Linked DNA regions of Arabidopsis thaliana. The protein of the gene in region 3 interacts with the protein of the main gene of each other region in a pairwise test. Each region holds a gene or a part of one and is shown on either strand. Other genes may lie near its edges.

What was found.
Region 1: the proteins of AT1G24210 (region 3) and MC1 interact in a two-hybrid assay, tested with the Arabidopsis thaliana proteins (one large-scale study listed by BioGRID).
Region 2: the proteins of AT1G24210 (region 3) and WRKY72 interact in a two-hybrid assay, tested with the Arabidopsis thaliana proteins (one large-scale study listed by BioGRID).

The regions. Positions count from the first base shown.
Region 1 is NC_003070.9:410,015-414,504, forward strand, and holds MC1 (metacaspase 1), read left to right. Parts: upstream 1-1,649; 5' UTR 1,650-1,868; coding exon 1,869-2,244; intron 2,245-2,445; coding exon 2,446-2,776; intron 2,777-2,868; coding exon 2,869-2,989; intron 2,990-3,065; coding exon 3,066-3,281; intron 3,282-3,352; coding exon 3,353-3,412; 3' UTR 3,413-3,540; downstream 3,541-4,490. Other genes in the region: AT1G02150 (Tetratricopeptide repeat (TPR)-like superfamily protein), read left to right, coding at 1-419; AT1G02160 (Cox19 family protein (CHCH motif)), read left to right, coding at 789-879, 1,163-1,347; AT1G02180 (ferredoxin-like protein), read right to left, coding at 3,605-4,203, 4,410-4,490. UniProt on the Arabidopsis thaliana protein: Cysteine protease that cleaves specifically after arginine or lysine residues. Does not cleave caspase-specific substrates. Acts as a positive regulator of cell death.
Region 2 is NC_003076.8:4,902,248-4,908,044, reverse strand, and holds WRKY72 (WRKY DNA-binding protein 72), read right to left. Parts: upstream 3,756-5,797; 5' UTR 3,620-3,755; coding exon 3,536-3,619; intron 3,173-3,535; exon of another isoform or gene 3,142-3,172; coding exon 2,551-3,141; intron 2,436-2,550; coding exon 2,322-2,435; intron 2,024-2,321; coding exon 1,166-2,023; 3' UTR 951-1,165; downstream 1-950.
Region 3 is NC_003070.9:8,572,659-8,577,202, forward strand, and holds AT1G24210 (Paired amphipathic helix (PAH2) superfamily protein), read right to left. Parts: upstream 2,527-4,544; 5' UTR 2,401-2,526; intron 1,884-2,400; 5' UTR 1,870-1,883; coding exon 1,730-1,869; intron 1,641-1,729; coding exon 1,517-1,640; intron 1,417-1,516; coding exon 1,315-1,416; intron 1,214-1,314; coding exon 1,112-1,213; 3' UTR 886-1,111; downstream 1-885.

The DNA.
Region 1 (4,490 bases), 8.2 Mb from region 3:
TGATGAATGCGTATGTCAAAAACGACCAACTAGAGACAGCTGAGGGGTTGTTCGACCACATGGTTGAAATGGGAGGAAAACCAAGTTCAAGTACGTGGGAGATTCTAGCTGTTGGTCATACCAGAAAGAGGTGTATTTCAGAGGCTTTGACTTGTCTTAGAAATGCTTTTTCGGCTGAAGGGTCCAGCAATTGGAGGCCCAAGGTGTTGATGCTGTCTGGTTTCTTCAAGCTCTGTGAAGAGGAATCGGATGTTACCAGTAAAGAGGCCGTTTTGGAATTGTTAAGGCAGTCGGGGGATCTTGAAGACAAATCTTACCTAGCTCTTATTGATGTGGACGAAAACAGAACAGTAAACAACAGTGAAATCGATGCCCATGAGACCGATGCGCTTCTAACACAGCTACAAGATGATTTGTAATCTGATAGTCCTAGATCTTTGCTTTAAAAAACGAATCTTGTAACCGGAGTCAACTGAGGAAATGCGAAATATGTATAATGTACACAAGAGACTGCCTAGTGAAACATGAATGTAAGAGCTGTGTCCCTTTTTGTGACAGCTATTTGGAATTAGTGTTGCTTAGGGAACTGGATTAGCCTTTGTTCTCTTGTTTGATTGTTGTTACTTGTTAAGACTAATATTGGAGAGGTTAGGTTGTGCTCTTTTATTTTGGGCCGGACGGATAAAAGGCCCGATATTGAATATATAAGTCTGAGAGTCTCAAAGGCCCATCTCCATTAAGATATCTTCGCGGAATCGGTTGTGAGAGAGAGAGACGGTGATCGGGAAATGTCGACGAAAGGCGCGGCGGCGGCGTACCCTAGCGCGGCTCGGATATCTGATTCTCCATGTTATCTTCAGTACTCTGCTTCTCTCAAATGTGAGTCATGCTCCTGATCTCACCCTTTGTGATTGTTTCTTCGAGGATAGGATTTGACATGTTATCTTCAGTACTGTCAAGTTCCATAACGAATTAGCATTGATTAGATCTCATCTATTTCATTATGCTTCCTCAAGGTGATTAGATTAGTGGGTTGAATCCCATGTCAGTGATTCGATTTAGGTCCCATCAATTGATAACGTCGGGTTTGATTCCTGATTGTTTATGTGTTTCCGTTTTCATTAGTTATGCCTCTTAGCTTGACCCCTTGATTTCTTATCAGGTCTTGAAGAATTTGGATCAGACAAGAGTAAATGCCAGGATCATTTTGATGTGTACAAGGAATGCAAGAAGAAAGAGGTTGTTGTTGTGAATGAATATTTAGGCTTTTGGCGTTTCCAACTTCTTTGCTGCTTTACCTATGTGTTATTTTGTTTCTCAGAGGGAAGCTCGACTGGAACGCAATAAGACACGGTCGTTGTTCTCGTGAATGCAGATCCTCGAATACCAATGATGTCTCAGAACATCACCTAGCTAGTAGTATCCTGTTGTTTCATTTGCAATGGCTGTGTTTGTATGATCTATCTAAGTAAACAAGTGGAAAGTGTTTGTTAATGTTACTTTTTACTCCCCATTGGTGAATCATGGTGTATACCTGTTAAACTTTGAGAGCAAGTGGTTATTTATTTAGTTAGAGAGTTAGAGCTTCTCCACCACCATATTGAATAAGAAGATCTTTCTCTCATTCTTTTACTTTACTCTGGCGTCTGAAACAGATCCAGGGATTCCAGTAGTGAATTGGGCTTAAAAACTGTTATATGGGCTTTCGAAAGTAAAAGGTTCGGTGAGCTGCCAAAGAAAAGTCAGATGCCTTTAATCGCATTTGACGACGATTCTTTACGTGCGCCATTGACTGCATCGTCGTCTTCCTCACGCGATTTGGTAATCCGATTCGTCTTCATCTGATTCCCTCCCTTCCGAGAATAATAATGTACCCGCCACCTCCCTCAAGCATCTACGCTCCTCCGATGCTGGTGAATTGCTCCGGTTGCCGGACGCCTCTCCAGCTCCCATCCGGCGCCCGATCTATTCGCTGCGCTCTCTGCCAGGCTGTTACTCATATCGCCGACCCTCGCACCGCCCCTCCTCCGCAACCTTCCTCCGCCCCTTCTCCGCCTCCCCAAATCCACGCGCCTCCCGGTCAGCTGCCTCACCCCCATGGCAGGAAGAGGGCCGTGATCTGTGGCATCTCGTATCGTTTCTCTCGCCACGAGCTCAAAGGCTGCATCAACGACGCCAAGTGCATGCGTCACCTTCTCATCAACAAATTCAAATTCTCCCCAGATTCAATTCTCATGCTTACCGGTACAGAGTATTTCTATCTTTTCAAATGCCTATGTTTGCTACTATACTACTATTCCTTGGATTTTGAATACAATTTTCCTTGGCCTCTTCAATCTGATAAACACACATTCCAAGTTACCATTTCGAACCACTTTGATAAAAATGTGTTGCATTCCATAGCTGACTAACTAATTGTTCATCATGGATGGTTTTCATTCTCAGAGGAAGAAACTGATCCATATCGTATCCCGACCAAGCAAAACATGAGGATGGCATTGTATTGGCTCGTACAGGGATGCACAGCAGGCGACTCACTTGTCTTCCACTACTCTGGTCATGGTTCGCGTCAAAGAAACTACAACGGTGATGAAGTTGATGGCTATGATGAAACACTCTGTCCTCTGGATTTTGAAACTCAGGGGATGATTGTAGACGATGAGATCAACGCAACCATTGTACGCCCTCTTCCACATGGTGTCAAGCTCCATTCAATTATCGATGCTTGCCATAGTGGTACCGTTCTGGATTTACCCTTCCTATGCAGAATGAACAGGTTATTAGTCCCTCAACCGCTTCTAAAAGGGATGTTGCTTACCTCTCTCGTTATATTTAACATACATCCATTTTTTTTTTTAATTGAAACAGAGCTGGGCAGTATGTGTGGGAGGATCATCGGCCTAGGTCAGGTTTGTGGAAAGGAACTGCTGGTGGAGAAGCCATTTCAATTAGTGGATGTGATGATGATCAGACTTCGGCCGACACATCAGTAAGTAGAACGACTCTAATCATACGTCTTGCTGTTGTAGTTGGTTCCTCCTCTCATGATTAAAACACATACACAGGCGCTGTCGAAGATCACGTCTACGGGTGCTATGACTTTCTGTTTTATTCAAGCAATTGAACGCAGCGCACAAGGCACAACCTATGGAAGCCTTCTGAATTCTATGCGCACCACAATAAGGAATACAGGGAATGATGGTGGTGGTAGTGGTGGAGTTGTGACGACTGTGCTGAGCATGCTTCTGACAGGGGGAAGTGCGATTGGGGGATTAAGACAGGTAAAATTCTTTCTTGCTCTCTTGTGTTGATACAGATCGATAAATGTTTTCTTAAATCTGTTTTTTGACAGGAGCCTCAACTGACTGCTTGCCAAACATTCGATGTCTATGCAAAGCCTTTCACTCTCTAGTAAAGGACAAGTCACTTTTTATGTATAGCGAGTGTGATTTGAGAATCCGTCCATATAACCACCTTTTGTTTCTTATTTTTATTTTTCTTTCAAAAGAATAAAGGAAAACATTGATTTGGTGATTCGATAACAAAATGTGCCATCTATTCTTTAGTCTTTACAAACAAGCAGCAAATGGTTTGCCTTTCAGAATCAAAATTTAAGGTGTTTCTCGAATAGACAGAAGGAAGAGAAGAGAAGTCCCAGAAAGCTGTTCAGAAGGCGCATACAAATCATGTGTGCGTTGCTGCTGCAAGGAAAAGCACTTCCGCTGTAGCAGCCTGTTCTTTGTTTGATACCCCGGCCGTTATCTTCCAGTACAAAGGAGGAGTTTTTCACACCATCGCTAAAGAGAAGACACCAAAAGAAGGTACCTTTATGCAACCTAGCCATTCCCACTCCAACCTCGGTATGCGACCTGTTTCTGAGCACCGACAACGCACTGCTATCTCTAAAGAGAATGTCTGAGAAAGCGACTTCTGGTGCTGCATACTTAGAGCTGCAGCCGAGGATATGGCCAGTTATGGTACCAAAAGTGGGGAGTTCTACACCACAGTTTGGGGCAAACACCTGAGTGAAGTCGTCTTCAGGGTGTTCACAGCTGAGAGTGTTGTTGACATTGCAATTCCCCTCGCAGAGCTCAACATACTGGAGGGCCATGCAGCCAAGACCGGGACTCTCATTTAGTTTGCCTAGTTTCCGAGCTGTTCTGTTCTGGTTCAAGATGCTCACCATTTCATGAGCTGAGTTTCCTGCAACCATTCTAACTAACACTTAGTCCGCCTAAAACGAATCAACATAATATAAACTGTCGAATCTGGTTCTGACTAAAGAAAGCGAACTCGAGATTAAATCAGAGGGAGTGGCTGTAAATTCAAAATAAAGCCTGGCCAAATGCTGAACGAGAAATCCAAGTCTATATTCGCATATGTTATGAGGGGATAAAGCAAGGAGTTACCGTGCAATTTGGAGCTAGCTAGCACTGATGAGAGTGACAGAAACAGTAAAATCAACTCCAAAATGCTGATTTCGTTCTTCA
Region 2 (5,797 bases), on a different chromosome or scaffold from region 3:
AAATGTGTATGACGAAACCTCAAAAGAATTTGATCAAATATAAGTCCATCTAATTTCTTTAATTAGATGAATAGTAAATTTGAAATGAATAGATAAATAATTCATGGACGAATAAACTAATGATAGAACAATATTCACATTTTCCTTCTTTATTTTTTGGTCAAGAATATTGTCATTCTATTCTTTTTTGAATTATAGTAAGAAACAGATAAAATGTGTTCGTCTTATAAATGATGAAACTCTTAAATAAAATAAAATCTATGTAACCAATAAGCTATTCTTATTTAGTTAAATGGAGGAAACTTTAAATAGATTAATTTTCTCTAAATAATTTATTTGCATACCTTAGTAGCAAACCGGTCCGGTCGGATCTGAACAGAACAAATCAAACCAAAATCAGAAACCAAACCGGTTTTGAAAAGATTACTAATCATTCACCACCAAACCGGTTCGAACTCGAATCATCATCATTACAGATTATTCGTCGTCTTGTTGTTGTTGTTTACAACTTTCTTGACTTTCTTGAAGTATTTCTTTATGTTTTCCCATTTCTCTTTGCATCTCTTTTCGGTGATCACTTGTAAGTATCCTTTCGGTGAATATCAAAGATTTCTCACTAACGCCCATATGTTTAGGCCCACGCCCATTTGTTTAGCCCCAATAAGGCTGAATCAGCATATCAGATCCATTTCATCCTACAGTACACTTTTAATTCGAAAGTTGCTCCGACACTTTAGGCCCACGCCCATTTATTTTCACTTTTTTGTCTAAATATATATACATATGATATAATATTCTCTCTCTATTTTTTTTTCCCTTTCAAATTGTAATTTTCTTGAAACCAAATTGTATTGTTGACTCTTGTTTTATTATTTTCTACTTAAATAAAAAAACGTTGTGATTATTGATTAATCTAGTAGATAGATTAAATTATTGTATCATCTCAATCTAAATCAAATTAGAACATAATATTTGCCACACAAGAACATAAAAAAATTGTACATTTGGTTTGGTTTATTTGAATTTGGTTCCATAGTCTCCTAACTAAGAAGAAAAAATAAACACTTTTGAGAAACGGACGAACAAGAATCAACATATCTTGATACAAGACTAATTAAAACACCTAATAAAAAATCACCCAAAAAACAAAAAACAAGAACAATGACTAGCTTTTCTCTTCCTTGTTCACGAAATTAGTCGTAGAAGACGAAGAAGAAGAATTCTTGAACATAGAGAAGGGAGGAAGTTGCGACGATGGTTGATCCAAAGAAGCACCCGTTTGATTACTCGCCATAATGTTAGACATCAATAAGCTGCTAAAATAGCCTCCACATCCTTTGTTATTATTCGTCGTGTTGGTTTGTTGAATGTTATTGCTAATCGAATGCCGTGGACCGACAATCTGTTGTTCTCCATTTGATCCGACCATAGTTGAGATGGCAGCAGCGATCACCGAGTGGAAACTTGGGTCGGAAGTAAGCGCTTTTGTTAGGGTTTCGGTTAAGGACTGGCTATTTTGGACTGTTTTTCCTAGGTTGGACGTCCCAAATTGGACGTTGTTGTAAGGATATGGAGTATAAGAAGAATACCCATTACCCCAAATCGCGGGTAGGTTGAGAGTAGACGGGTTTGATGATGTTGATGAAGTAGAAGAGAAATTTAGGCTTGTAGATGGGAATCTTTGGAAAGAGTTCGAGAATTTGTTGAAATTTAAAGAAAGCAATGAAGAAGAAGACGAGGAAGAGTGTTGTGGAGCAGTGAGGTCTAGAGTGACGGTGGGATGTAATGGGGAGTGAAGGGTGGGTGAATAGAAGGATTTGTTGTTGTTGTTGAATCTTGAATTGTCGTAGAGGTTATTTCCGATCATTTCAGCGGCTGGTGAGGAGGAGGAGCCAGAGAGGAGCATGGAGGCAGCGGCTGATGTGGTGGAAGCCATGGTGGTGGCTGAGAGTGGAAGAGAGTGGCTGTGTGTTCCTTCATAGGTTGTGATTAGTATAGACATGTCATCTGCACATCTTTGGACCTAAAACATACATAATCGAGGACAAATAGTTAGATCGTTTCTTTTTATTTGTACACTGGTCACAAATGTTTCTTACTTTCTATAATACCATGGAAACGCAAAGGCAAACGCAAAAAATAAAATAAACTGAATGATACATTTTTATCTTAAATTATGTTGTTCAGTTTAAATTGAATGATACATTTTAACAACTAAAATCAGATCCAACTCAAACGGAAATGAAAATAAAACCAGACGAAAAATTCAAACCGATTTTTTATTCCATTCTTAAATAGACTATATAGAATACGAAATATACCTGTTTTCTAACGGGACATCCAGGTGCAACCGTGCAGCGATAATATGCTCGTGGACATGGATTTCCTTTCGCAATCTTTTGTCCATATTTTCTCCATTGACAACCATCATTCATCTATACAACATAATTAATAAACATGTCCGAATCAACATTAGTCACATATAAATAATCAAATCTTTTAATTAACGTTATAGATCAACTTATTTAATGTATAATTTAAAGGACGTACCGTTGGTGTGTCACATCTTGCTCTAACACAAACTCTAGCTCTCTTAACATGGTTTTGTTGACCGGCCTCACCGTCAGCATCGCCACCGGAGGCTGGTGCTGGAGAGCTTCTCTTCCCCGTAACTTTACCTGGCGCCCAAGCTTCTTCCGAGCCAGAATTTGCACGATTCTCCATAGATAAACCCTCTTTCGGTTCACCTCCGTTGCCATTATTGATCCCTAAGGTCAAGCCGGCCTTAGTCAACTCTTCGTCAGCGTTGACTTCTGCGCTGATTGCGTCCGTTTTCTCTTCCTTTTTGGGGACGCTATCACTTGGGGAAGAACTTCTTCTCCCTAGTGAAAGCGATACAAGCTCGCGTTCTTGGTCAAAAGAACTCAAATCCGTCGTCGTTGGCTTGGGATGATCAACCATGTTTTGATTTTTAGTTGCGGTGTTTGAAGGTTCTTGTTGAATTATGTCGAAGAATCTGAGCTTGAGAGATTTGTAATCACTTTCAATTCGTTCGAGCATTCCTTTAAGCTTCTCGTTCTCTTCCTTCACCTCGCTCATCTCTGCCTTGGCAGATTCAAGTTCTTGATGATCACCATCACCCTGATTAATATCATTGAATAAAAAAGTTGATTAATTTCTCAACTAAATCTAAAAATGTTCTTTATTCTAAGTTTCTAACACATCATACTTCCATTCTTAATTCTAACGAATTATTCAATATTTCTAGATAGATAACTAATATAATCTTCCCGTTTCCATAAAAAAAATGAACATGGTAGAGTTTTGAGTTTTTCTTTTTAAACCAATTACGATAATAAGAAAAAAGAGAGAGGCCATTATAGAGTGGAAGAGACATCTCAGGATACAAGAATTACGTTAAAGCATAAAACACACCGATAAAGAATAAGAACGGTCAGTTTTCTGGTTTTGTGATCTAAATTATTTCCATATACATGTATAATTTTGTATATGCACATATAGAGTTGGTATTTACCTTATTAGCTTCATGGATTTGAACAGATCCAAATTTATCCTTAAGAGGAGACTCTGAAGAGGGTAATTTCAAAAGAACCTCCATTGTCAGAAATATCAGAAGATTTTCGTCTTCTTCTTCTTGTTTGGATTTTCTTTTCTTTTTGTTGTCTGTTTTTTTCCTTCAGAAACATATTATCAAACCCTTTACTTATAGCCATTTGTGTTTGTGTGTAGTTTCTTCGAGGGGACCCAAAGCGTCAACACTTCAACATGTTCAATTTTTTTATTTCATTTTTATTGAATTTCAGTACCTTTTCCTCCAATCATATCTGTGTTATTTATTTTAAACTAACTAGCGAAAAAAGAAATTATTTCCTGACTTTGTTGGTAATAATACTACTTCTCCGTTTAAATAGGGTCAATTAAAAAAAATATTACAACTAGTACATCGAAAACGAATGATCAAACTTAATAGAATTCCTTACTGGTATTTTGTTAAAAAACATATAACACAAATAAAATCAAATATTTATAACCATATATACGTGAATCCAATAATATTTAAATTAAATCTAATGAAGAACTTTTAACATGATGAAACTGTGATGAATATAACAGAAAGTATAAACTTCCTTCTCATTAAGTGAAAGTGTAGGTAAAGTCTATATGGATCTTGGTTATCAGATCAGAGTATTATTTAAATGTCCAAATGCATTAAATGAAACCAATACTTACAAGAAAGAGCCTAAATGTACGGCGTCAAATAGAGATTCTATAATGTGAAAGGATATGTCCTTGAAGCTTCATGGGAGAAGACTTCTTCTATCTATTGGCCTCACATCAAATGAGCATTCGTCAACTCTCTAAAACTTAATATTGTTTCTTTATCGAGTGTATTTATTAGTCCTCCCTCATCAAAAACATGTTTTATATTCCAAATATCTACAAGTTTATACATCCATAGACATAACATTGAATTAATCCATGTGTGATAAAATTTCTGATTGATAATCGAAATGATTTTGCTCTTACCATTTTAGTGACAAAAATTGCCATTTTATCGTATCTTAAGTTCCGTTACTTCATTATTTAGGGTTTCTAACGTTTTTGTTCTGTAAAAGTTTCGAGTATAATTCAACAATAAGTCATTAAGAAACAAATCTAAAAGTCAAATCATGCAACAAGAGAAAGGAAAACAGTATTAAGCATTTGATTATTGTTATATATGTAAACCTTGTTCATATGGTAGGCCAAAGGGTGCGTATACTGGTCAATACGCAGGTCACACACGGTAATTATATGATTTTGTCAACTATTGACTTTGTTATTAAGGAAATTAATCCTTTTTTTATGTCCCAATGCTATTATCATATTCCTGTTACATCTTGTTTCATTTTACAGCCAACATACGAATGTCAAATGCTTCACATAGTTGATAGTTGTCAAATTTCGTCAGTGACGTAACGCTGCATGGCGTTGAAAAAATAACATGCATTTTTTTTCCGTCAAAAGACACTATTTGTTCTATTCTCTTATTTTATATTTATTAATAATTTAGTTTCAACTCAAGATATAACGAAATATATTTTATCATTATCTATAGTTATACGCATATATATAAGCGTTACTCGAACACAAGTATGATAAAATTTCGAAGAGATTACATTAAGTAGCTAACCATTTTCTTATTAATGTATAAGCTAGCAAATTGTCGTCTTTCCTGTCTCCAATTTTTCAAACCGGGCAATTTATTAGTTCTAATTTCAAATCAATATTTGTATGGCCCGTATTATAAGAAACAAATGATTTTTATTTTTGATGGCTCAACATTTAAAAAAATTATTTCGTGAATGTGATTAAATTTAATTATATGCCAAGTTGAATCTTAAATACTTCATTTGGTCTCGATCCAAATTTCAATTACTTTTTTCCTTTTGGGGATCTGAGCTCCCACAGAATTTCTATTTTTAATCACAAAAAAATAATCTTAGTAGACATTTTGATCAACTCAACTTACATCATCCATTTGTTTTTCATTTTTTAGTATAAACAAAAGACTTTCTTGTTAACTATTATAAATGTGTACAGTTCATAATATGGTTAAGTAAACAATCGTGGTCGCAATGTGGCTTTTGTTTAATTGATTAACTACAGCTAACTATTGAATTAGTAATGAATGAGATATTACATTAGGTCATTAGCACGTCCCACATGATTAACTCCAGATTAACTAAGTAAAGTTACGTTACTACATGGAAATTTCAAAGTATTTTATAAGAAA
Region 3 (4,544 bases):
CAATTCAGAGATTGCCATAGTATTAAGTCTGACGGGATTAGATTAACACTTTTTATTGGGGACAAAACAAAACTCATATCTAGTTTTGAGACTTCAAGTTGATTAAACTTCATCAGTCGGATTTGATATCTTATCACATATTACGAAAAATATATTCAAGGAACTCGATATCATCCCACGAATACAAATTACAACAAGCAACAGATCTAGCAACTACAAAGGCAATGAACAAAGAAAATAAAACTTGTAGTGGACGTAACGAAGATCACACAAAAAAGAAGAAGAACACATGTGTATAGGTACCAAAGACGAATGAAGAAGGCTTCACGATCACGAGCACGAAGCAGGGGAGACGAGTTTCTAGTCTCGGTAGGGTTTTGTTTATGTATTATGATTCCAAGGTTATGTAAGATTTTCTATTTATTTTAATGATTTTTTTTTATTATTTGGTGTATTTTAATTAATTATGTACTTTTTTTAAAAGGGTTAAATCATCCATTTTTGTAACTTTACCCTCCACCTCCAATATATGCAGATTAATCTTATAAAGTTTAAAATAATACGCAATATGACATTTATACGTATATTGTAAACGTTTTTACGATGATATACATTAGAATTTTAAAATTTTGAAGGCAGAGTTGAACTCTTCATCGTGAGGGTTTAGATTTAATATATTACATGTCAATATTTTACAAAATTAATAGTAAAGAAAAAAACAAAGAAGGGTTACAATGCGTATTATTTTAGACTTCATAGGATTAATCTCAATATGTTGGAGGTGAAGGATAAAATTGTAAAAATGGATGAGTTCGAAGTGTTTTTTTACACAAAACCCTTTTTTTAACAACCATTAATTAAGTACATAACAAAACTAAGAAATGAGTTTTAAAAAAATGTTTGATCTTTCATAGGTTTTTCATCAGTAAAATTCAACATAAACAAAATAAGGTTATGAGAAGTATTTTTGAGTTTTGTGACACTTTGAGTTTCAATCATCTGAGTATATCAAATTCAAATCTCATCCTCTTCATGGTGAAAAGCAAAGATTTAAAACCTCTACAAAAGAAACTATACACTCCATTCTCATTCATAAAAAATACATCACTCGTTATAATTGTAGTAGTAGTGATGCTGTTGATACAGGGTTCTTTGTGAAAAATCTGAGAAAGTCTTCAATCAAATCTTCATGATAGAAGAGAACATCAATGACCTGCAAGATAATATTATTTCTAACCAAATCAAACAAAGAGAACCAAAAAAAAAAAAAAAAAACACAAGTACACAAAATAGCCCACCAAGAACAAACATTACCTCCTCTTGCACCTCCTTTACCGACATCTTTCCCTCTTTAAACATCTTCATTAACCCGCGAATTGCCCCCACTACATGAGTATCAAGGCTCTGAAACCGTGTCTGCAGATGGACAAATTTGCTCTAGTTAGTAAAAGAGGAATCAAAAAAGGATTTTGGTGTTTCTCTCCAAGGATTATTTGTCATTTTAGCATGTGTTTACCTTGAGCTTGTTTATAAAATCCTCTACAGAAACAGGTGGAAGGAAGACACTGAAACCAAGAAGAAGATCCTGATGATCTTTCATCAGTTCCTCCACCCTTGCAATGACACTATATTTATCGACTCTGCAAAAAGAGACTAGTAACATCAGAATCAATTCACAGTTGAAAGTAAAGACCAAACCAAATATAACAGGGAAGAAAAGAATACATACCTATGATCACAAACACCATTCAAGAGCTTGATAAACTCTTGATATTTCGTAGGTTCATCATGAAATGTTTCCTTCACAGCAATGATGTATGAATGCGCATCATCCTTAGTTAGAGCAGGTGATACTCGTCTTCCAACCATGGTTTGAATCTAGCCTTTTGTTATCAAAAGAAAGAGAAGATTTTTGTTCAGTAAAACAGATCACATCATTGAATTTAACCTAGAAGCTATTATTACCACTTGAAGAAACAGAACCTAGAGTGCAGAAATCTTAATAACATTACTTAAATCTATGATTTGCCTCAACACTGAAATTGAACAAGACATAAAGCTGCAATAAGCTAAATTTCTCAAAATCCAAATAATTGTCAAAACCAAAATCAACAACAACTAATTCATTCCCATCAGAACCAACGTGAGAACTTGTGTAAAGTGGCCAATATCAACACAGAGCAAACCAACCAAACACTTAGAAGTCTTAAAATCTCAGTCTTAACAAAAACAATAAGAAGTTAATTCGCTAATTTGAGGGTTTAAATCGGATTTGATGAAATTCAGGTAAAATTGATCACACAGGTACGAAATTAAATTCGAAGAACCCAATTCGAAATCATCCCAGAAACTACAAAATCATTCAATGACAATAAGAGAAGAAGATCATCGTATAGTTACCGAAATTCGAAGACAAAAAGGGCTTCCCTAGCTTACGAGTTACGACACACGATCTCGAAGAAGCAGGAGACTAGAACTAGAAGAAGAGATTTCTCTAGGGTTTAGTTTCCGACACTTAACGTTGGATTATATAATTAAGGATTACATCAAAAGTACGGTTTAAAAAAGGAAAAAGGCAAATCTTCTTCTTTTTTTTAATTAATTAATTAAAACTTTTTAATTGAGAAAAGTAAAAAAAGTAAAAAATGTGAAATGCTAATTTTAGTATAGGGATGATCTAATCGAAAATAGAGATTAATGTTTAGACTAAAGAGATAATTTCCCCAAAACATATATTTCTTAGTTTGACTTTGACATAACATTACATACATATATGTGTTAAATTAATTTGATATGGTTAATGTTTAGGAACTACAGTATTTTCTAATACAACATCACATTCAACAACTCTAATTAATAGTCAATAGCAACACCTAGTATACATTCCTAGTATAAATTTGATAACAACACCTAGTATACTTTGCTTTTTATACTATGTGTTAATGTGAAGTTCTAGCGTTTTAAGATATTTTGAATAATAAGAGTAACGAGTTGAAAAAAGATTAATATTATGAAGTTAATTGAAAGCAACAAAGATCATACAGCCTTATTTATAAAACACAATGGCTAAATTCATAACATAATTCCTAAATAAATAAATAAAAGAACGAATCACAAATAAATTATTCAATTTAATACAAATCTAAACCGAACTTGGTTTAGACGAACGAAGAAATCCCACAACATCACCTACCCATCTCATGCCCCAATCTAATAATTAGATCTCCAACCAATCTGGTAAAAATACATTGAAACCAGAAACCAAGTCTTGGTCTCCGTTAAGCAGTTCCTTCACCGCTGTTATGCAATCAGCCCTACTAATTCTGCAATGAAGTTATAAAATCAAAATTAATTACTTCTTCAACACGAAAAAATTGAACCGAACATTTTTAGTCATATTTTCCAAAAACTATGTATATCACATACTTGCGAACTTTAAAATCTTTCATAATCGCAAGAAAGTCTTCATATTTTTTTCTATCATTATGAAAATGATCCTTCACAGCCTTAATATATGCCTTTGCATCAATTTTGGTTGGCTTCGGCTTGTCTCCTTTATACACAAATATACTGTCTCCTTCCGACATGGTTTTCAATTGATCGAGCTGTATTTTCCAAACAAAGAGAATGATTTTTTATTATTATTTGTTTTCACTGAAGAAATTAATTATTTAATTTTGATTTCTATCTTCTCAAACACATTACCTCTTTTCTTTAAAAGTAACTTAAAATCGTTGGAAAAAAGAACAGGAATTTGCATCAGAGATCTTAATTAACAATTACTCGGATTTTTTAACAGTACATGCAATAAACATGACAATAACCAACTTTAGATCGGTAAAGTCAAAGAAGAATTGTAAAAATACTTCAGAGTAACAAACCATAAAAGTAAAAAAGTTCAAGGAAAAGCAAACCAGAAATTTACTACGGGTAGAAGCTTCACCACTAGGACATGAATCGTTTTGAGTTGTATGGGGTGTCTTTATATATCAAAAACCTTGCAGAAATCAGTCCATTTGCTATTAATATCTTTGTAGCAATGAGATATAATTGTATTGTAATATTAAATGAAATAAACACATGTCAGTTTGTAAATAAAATTTGACATTTATTAAAATTTACAGATTTTTAATGTAAATTTAGTAAATAACAAATTAAATTGTAAATTTTTATAAGCATATCTGTCAAAGCTTTATTTTATTACTTCAACTTTTTCGAGATTTTAAAATCACTTTTGTTACAATGTAGGATTTACTATTACAATTTTTTATATATATTATAATATTACAATGTAGCATTTAGTATTAAAATTATATATTTAGTTGATATTAAAAAATAGACTACATGTCAAAACTCAAAAGAATTGATGCCATAGATCTGAAAATAACTTAGTAAATTTACTTTCGTAGTTTTTCAAATCAAAGCCGACTAGCTGTAACTTAGTTTCTGTATGATTCGTGACGTGATTCAAGAACAGAACAAATTAAAGAACGATTTATCTTTATTATAACTAGATGAACACCCATGTTACGCATGGGTTTTTG